Linked DNA regions of Arabidopsis thaliana. The protein of the gene in region 1 interacts with the protein of each later gene in a pairwise test. Each region holds a gene or a part of one and is shown on either strand. Other genes may lie near its edges.

Region 1 (3,897 bases):
AACGTTATGATGATTTACGAATAATGAACGGAGACAAATCCTCTGTGTGTCTCCACGTAGGAAAGCGGTTTCCCGCCAGCTGACAAGTAACACGTAAGCACGTCATCTCAAACGTCTTTCAGGAATCCATTTGCTTCATTTCCTCCTCTTATTAATATTTAGTCGGTGTTTTATATATTTTCAGATCTTTATTTTTCTTGTAACATAAAAATTACACTTTTTTGTTCATGTCAAATGAGTTTTCATTATTCACTCTTAAATCTTAATCTCTGCTTTGAAATTTGAGCCGTACAAAAACATTCGCATTTATTGTTGATGCGACACAGATGTTACTTTTATTTTATTATACTATTATTCTGAAGGAACGGTCAGCTGTATTTTTATAGTATAATTTTAATTTAAATCATCATAATCTGGTTATTGAAAAATTATTTCATTTTCAACTTTTTATTGTTTTATAAGATTGGAAATATTTGAATATTGATGAGAGCGAATGTTGGTTTCCTTCTCGAATTCTCGTATACCAATGCTAATATTTCTTTAAAGAAAATACTCCATAGTATGTTTTTTCTTTAAATTTAATTAGCTACGTCAACAAATTTTTTATATTTCTCACAAATAACTTACGTAAATTCATCATGCAATTTTGTGTTGACAAGACCAATGACCCTCGACTGAATTAATGAAGAGACTAGTCGTTAAAAAAATAATACTCAGTTATATGAGTATATAATAGTGCTGGTCGTTTAAAGAAAACAGTAAAAGCATAGTGAAAGGATAAAAACTGTCGTCGGAGATCTAACGTCAGCATAAGTTAATCAGAGGCTGAGAAATGATCATCTCATACGTTTCGTCTTCACATTTGCAACTAATCTACAAGTATTTAATGTATCATTAAACTTTTGTTTACTTGATGACACAAAATAAAACTAAATAAAGTTTTATTTTAGTGTTTATATATTTATACTGAATTATTTAGTAATAATTCTGAAAAGTTGACAACAAAATTCAGACCTTGAAATTATTAAGGGCATTACTGATTTTGATGTGATTAGACTGCCCATCACTTTATTGCAGAAAAATATTAATGCATATATTTATGCTATTGGCATATGGACAAAAATAATTATCGCGTTTATTTTGATTCTATCCCCTTTTTTTTTAGTTTCCCAAAAAGTTATCTCTAATATCATCTCCTCTCTCTTTTTGTTTTTTAATCCTACACTAAGCTTTTTGTATTGTTGTATTGTCCAAAAATAACAAAAGCTTATGGAAAACTTGTAAAACCCATAAGCTACCTAGTGTGTTTTAAGATGAGCCCTAGAACTACTCCTGAAGAAGACAAACATGTTTAATTATATCATTTTAATTCAAGATTACATAAATAAGTTTTTAGTGTGTCATTTTTAGAAGAAAATTAGTAATATTTCGTTCAATTTTCACATGTAGGTAACAATCTTTACAACTTTAAGTAATAACCCAGGAAAAAATAAACAGTAAATGGAATCAAGTAAACACGAACTCAAATCAATTTCTTTTTAACGTGTCTTTTTATATCATAAACATGGTTAAAATTTGTGATCTAATACAAGAATAGTTGACTAAAACAAATCATGCATGGTCAGAGCGATACGACCAAATTGAATAAAATAATAGGAATATATAATTAATAAGAAAGTATAATAGCTCTTCAAGTAAAATTAGAAAGAAAGAAAGAAATAATGCAAAAGATAAAGAAAGCGTTACAAAGTGTGGTTGAGGACAGATTATATTAGATTCCGATTTCCAATAAACAAGAAATTATATAGCAAAAATAAAAGATAAAAATAAAATAAAAACACTTCTCAAATCGGCAAATCCAAAAGAGAGAGATAAAAGAGAGAAAGATAATCTCTTTAATGTCCACATTATCTCTCTCTTCTTCTTCACCTTCTTGAGAAACCTCCTCTCCCCAAAAACGACGTAGTTTCACATTTCTCGACTTCTTGAATGGAGTTTGAAGACAACAACAACAACAACGACGAAGAGCAAGAAGAGGATATGAATCTTCATGAGGAAGAAGAAGACGACGACGCCGTTTACGACTCTCCTCCTCTCTCTCGTGTTCTCCCCAAAGCCTCGACAGAAAGTCATGAAACCACCGGAACTACTTCCACAGGCGGTGGCGGAGGATTCATGGTTGTTCACGGCGGTGGAGGGAGCAGGTTTAGGTTCCGTGAGTGTCTCAAGAACCAAGCGGTGAACATAGGAGGACACGCGGTCGATGGTTGTGGTGAGTTTATGCCAGCTGGAATCGAAGGTACCATCGACGCTCTAAAATGCGCCGCTTGTGGCTGTCACCGTAACTTCCACCGCAAGGAATTACCTTACTTCCATCACGCGCCGCCACAACATCAGCCTCCTCCTCCCCCGCCAGGGTTTTACCGTCTTCCAGCTCCGGTTAGCTACCGACCACCACCGTCACAAGCTCCTCCTCTTCAGCTCGCTCTTCCCCCTCCACAAAGAGAGAGATCAGAAGATCCAATGGAGACGTCTTCAGCTGAAGCAGGAGGAGGGATTAGGAAGAGGCATAGGACTAAGTTTACGGCTGAGCAAAAGGAAAGGATGTTAGCTTTAGCTGAGAGGATTGGATGGAGAATTCAGAGACAAGACGATGAAGTGATTCAGAGATTTTGTCAGGAGACTGGTGTTCCGAGACAAGTTCTTAAGGTTTGGTTACATAACAACAAACACACTCTTGGTAAGTCGCCTTCACCACTTCATCATCATCAGGCTCCTCCTCCTCCACCACCACAGTCTTCGTTTCATCATGAACAAGACCAACCATGAATCTTGAATTTCTTTGATCACTAGGGTTTTAATTTAGCTTAATTAATTACTTGAGAAATTTGAGAGACAAGGTTTTTATTGTTTAATTTATGTACCCATTTTCCTCTTTGATGATGATGTTGATGATGTTGGTGATGATCTTTAATTTCTGGTTAATTATGTTTTGCATTAGTAGCTTTTTAAGTCTCTTAGCAAAATCTTTGATTGGTCTGACTATAAATTACTGACGTCCTTATTTGCATCACATTTGTCAGTGTTTGAATTTATCATGTTTTGTGTATGAATCTATATGAACTTGATCCTGAATATATATGTACATGTATTTTGTGTATGCATTATTTATGTCTTCTTTAGCATATGATTTCATTTTTATTTTATTTTGTGCAGCCTAAGCTTTTACTTGTTGACATTGTTATATATTGTTTCTTAAGTTCCTGGTGTTTTTGTGTGTTATTATATTTGACTGACCATTATTTTCACCCACACACACATTTGTAGCTAGCTAGATCTGATAGTGTTCTTGTTTCTTAAGTTCTAGGTTTTTGAGTGTTTATATATTTTCTTGATCATTTTTTACCACACATATCTAATGATAAATTGGTTATTGTCATAATTATATCTTATGTGGGATTCTATATATATATATATACTTGTCATTTAATTGTCCAATGAGTGTAGGACTCAAATGTGGATCGGTCGGAATTTCCTTGGGATGGAGATCTCTGCCCTAAGAATTAAATAAGTATTTCAATGGCTTATATTATTATCATATATGCGTGAATTAAATAATTTTTTTTTTCCATTGGAAATGAAAAAGGTGAAATAACATCAGCTAGCTGCGGCAACAGTATTCTGATTCCTGGGAATTAATTCTTCACTTAAAAAAAAAAAAAAAAATTAAACTCAAAACATGTCGATGCATCCAAAGCTTCTTATATCCTCTTTATGTCTTATATTATATGTATATGTATATTGTTCTTTGAAGATCTGGGGAAGAAGGAAACATGTGGGCTTCTTTGGAAGCAAGAAGGAGAAGATAGGAAAACATATGGGCACACATACATTACT
Region 2 (4,341 bases), on another chromosome or scaffold:
CATGCAATTAAATATGCATGATAAAAAGTCCTTAAAAGGCACCACATAGTTTATATAGCTCATATAACGTTCTTTAAAGAAATAAAAAACATATGTCCACCGTCCATGTTGAAACACGTACTTAGCAACCTGACAAGAAGACATGCTTTAGTTTCTATCAGGCTATAGATTCCAATGACCAATAGTCCGTATTCTAAACCGTACAAATTCTTATACGTATCATACTATCACGTATTGATGATGCGTAAAGTTGCTAATGGAGACGTTCACTGCAAATAAAAGAACATTCTTCCCCATAATGTAAAATATGCGACTTAAAAAATATCAAAATATTGACATACGCAATTCTTAATACTAAGCTCAATTTCTTTAAATAACTTATATTTTTACATGATAAATAGGAATAACAAAATAATTCTTCTTTATAAAAAAAGAAAAATTCGTAATACATTCTCAAACTGGTTATACGGTTTTGTTGATTGATTGTAGCATTTTTGTTTTCAACATATCCAATTTTTAAAGTGTATCTTGTTAGTTAGATTGTTGGTTATCCGGGTATTAATTTTAGAAGATATGTTTAACGATGTGAATGTAGTACTGAATACAATTTGGATGCTTTGACATTCACATGAATGATAATATTTATGCTTAATATTTCTATAACTAGATCAATAGAAATATACAATTTACTTATAATTGACAGATATATACATTCTTTTTTTCTTGGGTCCAAACTTGACCTCCATCGACCTAAATAATCGATGCTACGAGAAAGATATCCACAATATTACACTAGCGAATAGGCCCATAATTTTATCTACATCCTGCTTCATTGTAGATATCGACCAATCATAAATTAATGTAATTGTCACAATTAACCCCTATATATTTATATACTATACTACGACTGAAAATAGATTAGCTTATAGTTTTTTACATAAATTGGCTCATCCAGTCTAATCCATCAATGTAATCTGGCGAGTAGAGCAAGTTCTCGTCAGCCTCACCGTCAAATCCGATGTCGTAATCTCCAAAAAACGGTGTCGTATGATTGGCTTCAATGGTCACAGAGGATGAGATAGGACTGTTACTTAAAGTTCCTTCAACTCTTTTTGCAAGCCGTTGGATCTCTCTTTCAGCCTCGTAAAGTTGTTCCTTTAGGTGAATAACCTGAAATTATAATTTGATTTGATTTAGAGATAATCATTTCCCATTAACAGCTAATCATGTTATTATTAGAGTTTGATTTGATGAGTTTTATTTTGTGGGGCTGGTGATAAGAGAGACCCAATGAGTCAATGACTTAGACAAGCGAGTAACCACTAGAAAACAAAGGGTGTTTGTACGGAAAGATAATTACATATAATGACACTTTTGTTTTTTTGCTGTTCACTTTGCTGTATGATTTTCTTTTATAGAACCAAGATAATTACACTACAATTATTAGTTTACATATATTACTATTTTAGCTATAGAAGGTAACAAAAAAAAAAACTTTAAAATTCAATCAGCATTTTGATTTTTCTTTCTCATTTGCTTAATTATACTACGTGATGGTTTCACTTGGTGTCCATCATCTTGTAAAAACAATATAATTTAGAAAATATCTTTATACCTTATAGAAAAAAATAACAACATTTTTTGGTAAAACACTATAATATTTTATGTTCACAAATAGGAACTCTTGATTAAAAGAGAAAAACGGGTAACTTTTATCTTTGATCAACTTAAATAAAAGCTATAACTATATTATATTTAAAGATTATTAACCAAAATACCAAATAATTTACTTATCTTTTAGAAAATGTGAGAACGTACCTCAGAATCAAGACGACATTTCTCAACGACGGTGGTTTCGTATGCATTCTTGAGTTTAGTGTATTCATCCTCGACTCGTTTGTTCTTCCACCGTGCACGGCGGTTTTGGAACCAGACGGCGACTTGACGAGGATCAAGCCCTAACTCAGAAGCAAGCCGATCTTTCCTCTCGGATTCAAGCTTATGATCGTCTTCAAAGCTAATCTCCAACATTCTTACTTGCTCATCACTCAATTTTCTCTTTCTAAACCACCCATTGCCTTCGTTTTCACCCTCCTCTGCCACCACAACACTCTTGCTCTTCCTTTTCCTCCGCCGTGTTGGTTTTGCTTCTCCTCCTGGTCAAAGAAACCCATCAAAACCAATGGTACAACAAAACATAAATTCTTTAAATGTTTAGCTCTTTTAAGTCTTCTCTAGTATCATGTACGTATATGAAAATGAAAAGACTACAGAAGACAAACATATTATCCAGAACAAAAATAAAGAAGACCCACTTGAAGATATTTCTATAACCAATTTTGGATGTCTTTTTTAATATATGAAAACAAAAAAATGGAACTTTAGGATGTGCAAACCTTGTTGTGGTACTAATGGAGTATAGACATTAGGGTACAATTGAGAAATGAGTAGAAGATTATGATCATCTACATTCTGGTTATTCATGTTTCTTCTTTTCGTTCTCTAGACCTTCTTCTTCTTCTCTCTCTTAGATTCAAAAGATTGGTGATGTTTTTTGTCTCACCTTTTCTGCAATAAGAGAAGATGTGTTAGGAGAAGCAGAGGACTTATCATTTATAAAGGAGGAGTAGGTGTCAAGGGATGGTTTGATTAGAGTTTTTTTTTTTCTAATACATATTTCTTTTTTCCGGATTTGGGCTTATGATTCTTTCAAATAACATTATTGCCACTTAGCAAATCAAGACTAGTAGTAGATCTCAAATGACATATGTACATCACTTTCGTTAATATCTTAATAGTTAATATTGTTTCATATTGAAAATACATGACTTTAACTTGACAATATCATTTTCTTTGTCAAATTCATGTGACAATAAGTAAGAGACCAAAAAAAAAAAAAAGAATAAACAACCTCCCAATATTATTTGGACTATAAAATCATTTTATGTTTTTATAATTTGGTAACAATTGATAAATGGATCATTTTATGTTTTTATATATAAAATAGAAATCTTAACTAGAATTGAAAATTTATAATGCGGATATATTGTTTACGTAGGAATTTTCTAAAATATGCAGCCTATAGTTCAATAACTTTTCAACTAAACCGCCGTAGTTTAATTTATTCGATCTTTGTTGTAGATCTTACACTTTGTTGGCAATTTGGAACCAAAACTCACTTAATTACTAGAGCTCCTAAATAGTGTGTGTTTTGACATACAAACCCTTGATTATCTTAAGAAGCATAAACAAGTTAATTAGTTCATGTAAATTCTTATCAAAACAAAAAAAGTCTTATGAAACATATTCCATTTTTAAAATGCTTCTTAAGGTATGGATATTAACACGTACGTAGTCTTTAAAACCAAAGCAATAATCAATATATAGGTCGCCTTTGAAAAACTAAAGGAAATACATGTAATTATCATTTATAAATATGTAATGCGATAAAGCTTAATTTACGTGTGATGAGAGGATTAGAGGATGTCGTTATCACCATCATATGGATAAGTCTAAGCAACAACCTAAAAGAGAAAACATAACTGACTTGTCTTTCAAAAGGTAGTTTACTTTTACTCTCATCTCTCGTATACTAATAATTTTACTCACTCTTTCAAATGTTTTCTTTAATCGGTTTTTAAACTCGAAACATATATGGTCTACGTTAATGTTAACGTTTATTTTGTTGTATAGCCAAAATGGAAACACATTTTAGGTTATTCAGAGTTTAAAATAATAAATACGAGGTAATCGTTTTTCTTTTTAGCAATGATCAACATATATTTTGAACATACGTATGCATATGTACATACTGTAAAAATAACATTTCATAAATAAATAACAATATTCTGCATATAGAATCCATGTAAAACCGTGGTAAGTTATATTCAAAGAACAAAGTAACCTTCAAAATTTGGGTTTAATACATATACCTTAAAATTCAAACTACTCTACCCATTTTGAACAACTATTTTGTTTTGTTTTCTTAGAAAACGTTTTTACAAATGTTGACATACCCAGATTATATCTTTACCCATTTTGAATAATTGTTTTTCCTGTTTTACATTCTGAATAATTTAGATATATATATGACTTAATGTTATATATATATATATATATATATATATAGATATATTAAAATAAAATATATAATTTTAATATAGAAAATATATATATTGTGGAAAAAATGGCTAATTGTTAGTGAACGAGACTTCAGTGAGATCTACAGAAGAAGAATCTCAAAGATCCATGAAATTTAGGTCAAATCGGTTGAGATTTTAAAACTTAACTCTATGATACCATATTAGTGAACGAGAATTTGAAAAAAAAACGAAGAAGATG
Region 3 (4,007 bases), on another chromosome or scaffold:
ATTAATTATTATTATTTTTTAATTAAAGGTCCGAATGGCGACTGCGTTTTGCGGTACGGAAGAAGTGCGGTGCGGTTCAAATAGTAACAAAAATATATAAATACATATGTATATGTAGAGATTTTGACACTGTTGCGGTGCGGTTTTGGGTACGGTGTATGTCACCATTCATAGCCTAAGAGATGGCTTATATGAATAACAAATTTGGAGTCGTCGGGCAATGTCAGTGTCGATGAAAGGGTAAAAAGTGTTGGGTCCATTTTCAGAAAGAGAATGACCACTTTCCAACCCTATTTGTTTGCATCCTCTCCTCGGAATCTGTAAATTGATGCTCTTTCTTTCACACACTTCACATTTTACTTCAACCGTGCCATTTAACTATATGATTTCTACAGTTTATTGTACCGCTAATCGTAATTAATGATCTATTTTTAAGATCATGTCTTCTATTTTTGTTCATCTTATAGACTTAATTATGACATAAGCATAATTTGTTTCATGGAAAAGTCTTTTTGGGTGGGTTTTTAAAATTTTTATTTCTTAGAGTTTTCTGGATATTAGTTGTACGATATAAAAGCACATGGTTCAGACTTTTTTTAATGTCTAATCATATGGCCCATATGATTGATTAATTATCATATAATATGATGAATATTTCCCCCATTAATTCTCTTACATCACATTACCCAAAAAAACTACTAGCTTAGTTGGTGCATATAGACTAAATATAGATTCTTGAAACATGAATTGGTTCATCTGACCACTTAAAGAAAACGAAAATTTTAATACAAACAAGAACAGATCGACCACATTCAATTGTATTGTTGCTGGTCAAGCCATGGCCAGAACCCAGACTGGTCATCAATTCCACAGAACATGTTACTGATACTGTTCTCTTCTTTCACCATTCTCTGTTCTGACGATGAATTCTGAAAAAACTGCATCGTTGTAGTTGTCGGTGGATGGCCTAGGGCGAATTGGCTATCGATCTCCGGTGGCCTGATGTCACCAGAAATGTTCTCACTTCTGTCACTACATGATCCTTCTGTTTCTTTGTTCAGATTGATTGATTCTATTGGTTCTCTGCTTTTCAATGCCATTACCTGCATAATTTACACAAACTATTTAAGAAAGAACGTAAAATTGCAAAATGATTCCAAATTATGTTTTGACCTAAAACAAATATATTCCAAATTATGAATTCGAAACTGAAAGAATAACATCAATAAAAAACAAAAAAGAGCATTGTTTTTATAAAATTCAACTAAAAAAGATTCATATTTTATGAAATATATGATTTAAAAAACAGAGTATTTAAGATTAAAAAAGAAACAGAGTACTTTTGTGTTATGAAGTTTCTGCTTTTACCTGAGCTTGAAGCTTTTGATTTTGAGTTTGAAGAACTTCGTTCTCATCTCTGAGACTTTCGAATTGACGCTTAAGCATGTCATAGTCTTTCTCAAGCTGCTTGGTTTTGGATCGAGCTCTTCTGTTTTGGAACCATATAGCAATTTGTCTAGGTTGCAATCCCAAGGCACGAGCTAGCTCTAATTTTCGATCTGATTCAAGTTTATTACCAAGCTCAAAGTCCTTCTCTAGTGCCTTCAATTGTTCCATGTTCAATCTCCTCTTCTTCTCTCCCATCTTAGATCCATCGTCTGAATATTCTTCATCTCCGTTCATATCTAGATTACAAAACCCTTGCACGTTGTTCATTGGAGATCTTTTACCTAGAAACCCTAAAAACAGAGAAGATCTTGAGAAGTAGAAAAAAAAAGGATTAGAAATTTTGAACAAAGGTGTTAATTGAGATGATGTACCATGGAAGTCTTGAAGAAGTTGAGGGTGATCTTCTTCTTCTTGGTGATGGTTTTGGAGACTGAAATTTTCAGGGAAGAAAGCTAAGCCATTATTATTACAAGACATGTCTCTTGTTGGTTGTTTTCTTCTTCTCCTCTCCACCACCTTGTCTTGGTTCAAAGTACAGAAAGAAAACTAAATAAAGAAGAAGAAGGATGGTGGTGAAATGAATTAGAAGACTGAGTATACACCACTTATAGGCTAAATACTAGCTAGATTAGAAAATTTGGTTTTATTTTGTTTATTATATGAGTATATAAAATAGGAGACAAGACTCAAAGCCGATGAGACAGAGAGGTAGACATGGGATGATTATAGTCTTTGGAGGGGTGGAATATGGGCTTTTGTATGTTTTGGAAAATCCCTAATTTTACTACGTTGTATCCGTTTTGGTAGATTACGGATATGTACTATGTAGTTTTTCATATCAAGTATTTTTAAAGATAATTCTTGTTTTTTACGAATAGAAAGACAGATATATCATAGTCATACTAATTATATATGTATATTTTTCTATTATAGAATTTTTGAAACGAAATTCATAATAATCTCCGGACATTGTGAAAGATAGCATATTCTTGCAATTTAAGATGTTTACAGTGGTCAACCATGATTGATATTACAGTGAATTGATTAGATTATGGTCACTCAATTTAATAGTAATTTTTTCAACCACTAGATTATCATAATTAATTTATTGTGAATATATTTAATTCAGATGTGTATAATTAAATATGTACCGTAATGAACAATTTGAGTATTTGTAACAAATACTTCAAATTTTGGGAGTTTATAGATCTAGATACTCTTACCACTTTCTCTTCAAAAAAAGAGTTGAATTTAAATATGATATGTAAAAAAAACTGATATTCTTAATGAAATATTTCAAAGTTGATATCTAATTAAAATTTCTTTTAACAGCATGCCCTACATAAGCATTTGGATGGTTGCATGCATAAGTGTTCAAGTCAATGGAATTTTATTTCTAACGAGAACTAAAACTAGTGATTTTGGTCGTCAAGAAGTATATGCAAGCAAACTCTTAGAGGCCCTACATGGTATCACTTGTCTATGTCTCAATGATATGAAATGAAAGCAAACTCTAAGGTCCTACATGGTAACTCTCACTAGTCTATGATATGATTAGACTTCTTCTTTTTAAAACCTTTTACAACATAACATGACTTTTTCTCTATGGTAGGTAAACATACTTTCGGGGGACACAAAAAGCTCTTCATCACCGCAGATTGTGTTTTGACACAAAGCCCATTTTATATGCGAGGCCGGTTTCTTCCTTCTTCTTCTTCTCTTTCTCAGGTCCCCCACTTATCAACTTTCTTAGACGTTTTGGTCGGTTTTATGATAAAATACTTTAATATAGGCCCAACTACTGTATAAATTGGTCTCCCTATCAAATCATTTTGTAATCAACAAGTCTATATTCTACAAGTTTAAATATTTTTGTTGAAACTATTTTATAAATTACCACGAGTTGTTCTTTTTTGTGTGTTTTAACCTCAATTGTATTTATCTAAAAGCATAAACTATTTATTCTATGAATTTTTTATGTTGCATGAGATATGAAAAGTGCAATTCAACGACATACAAACAAACGCATATAAATAAATATGCTCAATTTTTCATTTAGTATCAAAAGGTGTACACAAAATATATATTTTTTCATTTTTTTGCTTAATAAAAAATCACATTGCAAGCCTATTCCTTCTTAATGTATTATGCAATCTTAAATTGTAGTATACACATATGGCTAAGGCCAATTGTTGAAATGGAAAAACAACTTGTATATTTTCTTGAGTATTAGTTTTTTTGGGGGGACAAACTTGAGTATTGTTTAATGTTGGTATATATGTTTGCGAGAACAAGCCAAATCACACACTACAATAACAGAAAAAGAGGAGCTTTGCGGGACGAGTACGGGGATTGGCGAGGAAGTTTTGCCCTGAATTTAGGGCGGTGCACGGCTCCGTTAGCAGAGCTTTGGGGTGTGTACTACGGGTTGGTTATAGCTTGGGAGAAGGGTATAACGCGGCTGGAGCTTGAGGTAGATTCAAAATTGGTGGCTGGTTTTCTCACGACAGGGATAGAAGACTCTCATCTGTTGTCATTCCTAGTACGTTTGTGCTATG

What was found.
Region 2: the proteins of HB25 (region 1) and HB21 interact in a two-hybrid assay, tested with the Arabidopsis thaliana proteins (one study listed by BioGRID).
Region 3: the proteins of HB25 (region 1) and AtHB23 interact in a two-hybrid assay, tested with the Arabidopsis thaliana proteins (one study listed by BioGRID).

The regions. Positions count from the first base shown.
Region 1 is NC_003076.8:26,134,190-26,138,086, forward strand, and holds HB25 (homeobox protein 25), read left to right. Parts: upstream 1-1,812; 5' UTR 1,813-1,989; coding exon 1,990-2,829; 3' UTR 2,830-3,365; downstream 3,366-3,897. UniProt on the Arabidopsis thaliana protein: Putative transcription factor.
Region 2 is NC_003071.7:8,048,730-8,053,070, forward strand, and holds HB21 (homeobox protein 21), read right to left. Parts: upstream 2,588-4,341; 5' UTR 2,485-2,587; coding exon 2,397-2,484; intron 2,157-2,396; coding exon 1,819-2,156; intron 1,171-1,818; coding exon 934-1,170; 3' UTR 642-933; downstream 1-641. UniProt on the Arabidopsis thaliana protein: Probable transcription factor.
Region 3 is NC_003070.9:9,354,045-9,358,051, reverse strand, and holds AtHB23 (homeobox protein 23), read right to left. Parts: upstream 2,226-4,007; 5' UTR 1,927-2,225; coding exon 1,821-1,926; intron 1,740-1,820; coding exon 1,369-1,739; intron 1,104-1,368; coding exon 813-1,103; 3' UTR 550-812; downstream 1-549. UniProt on the Arabidopsis thaliana protein: Probable transcription factor.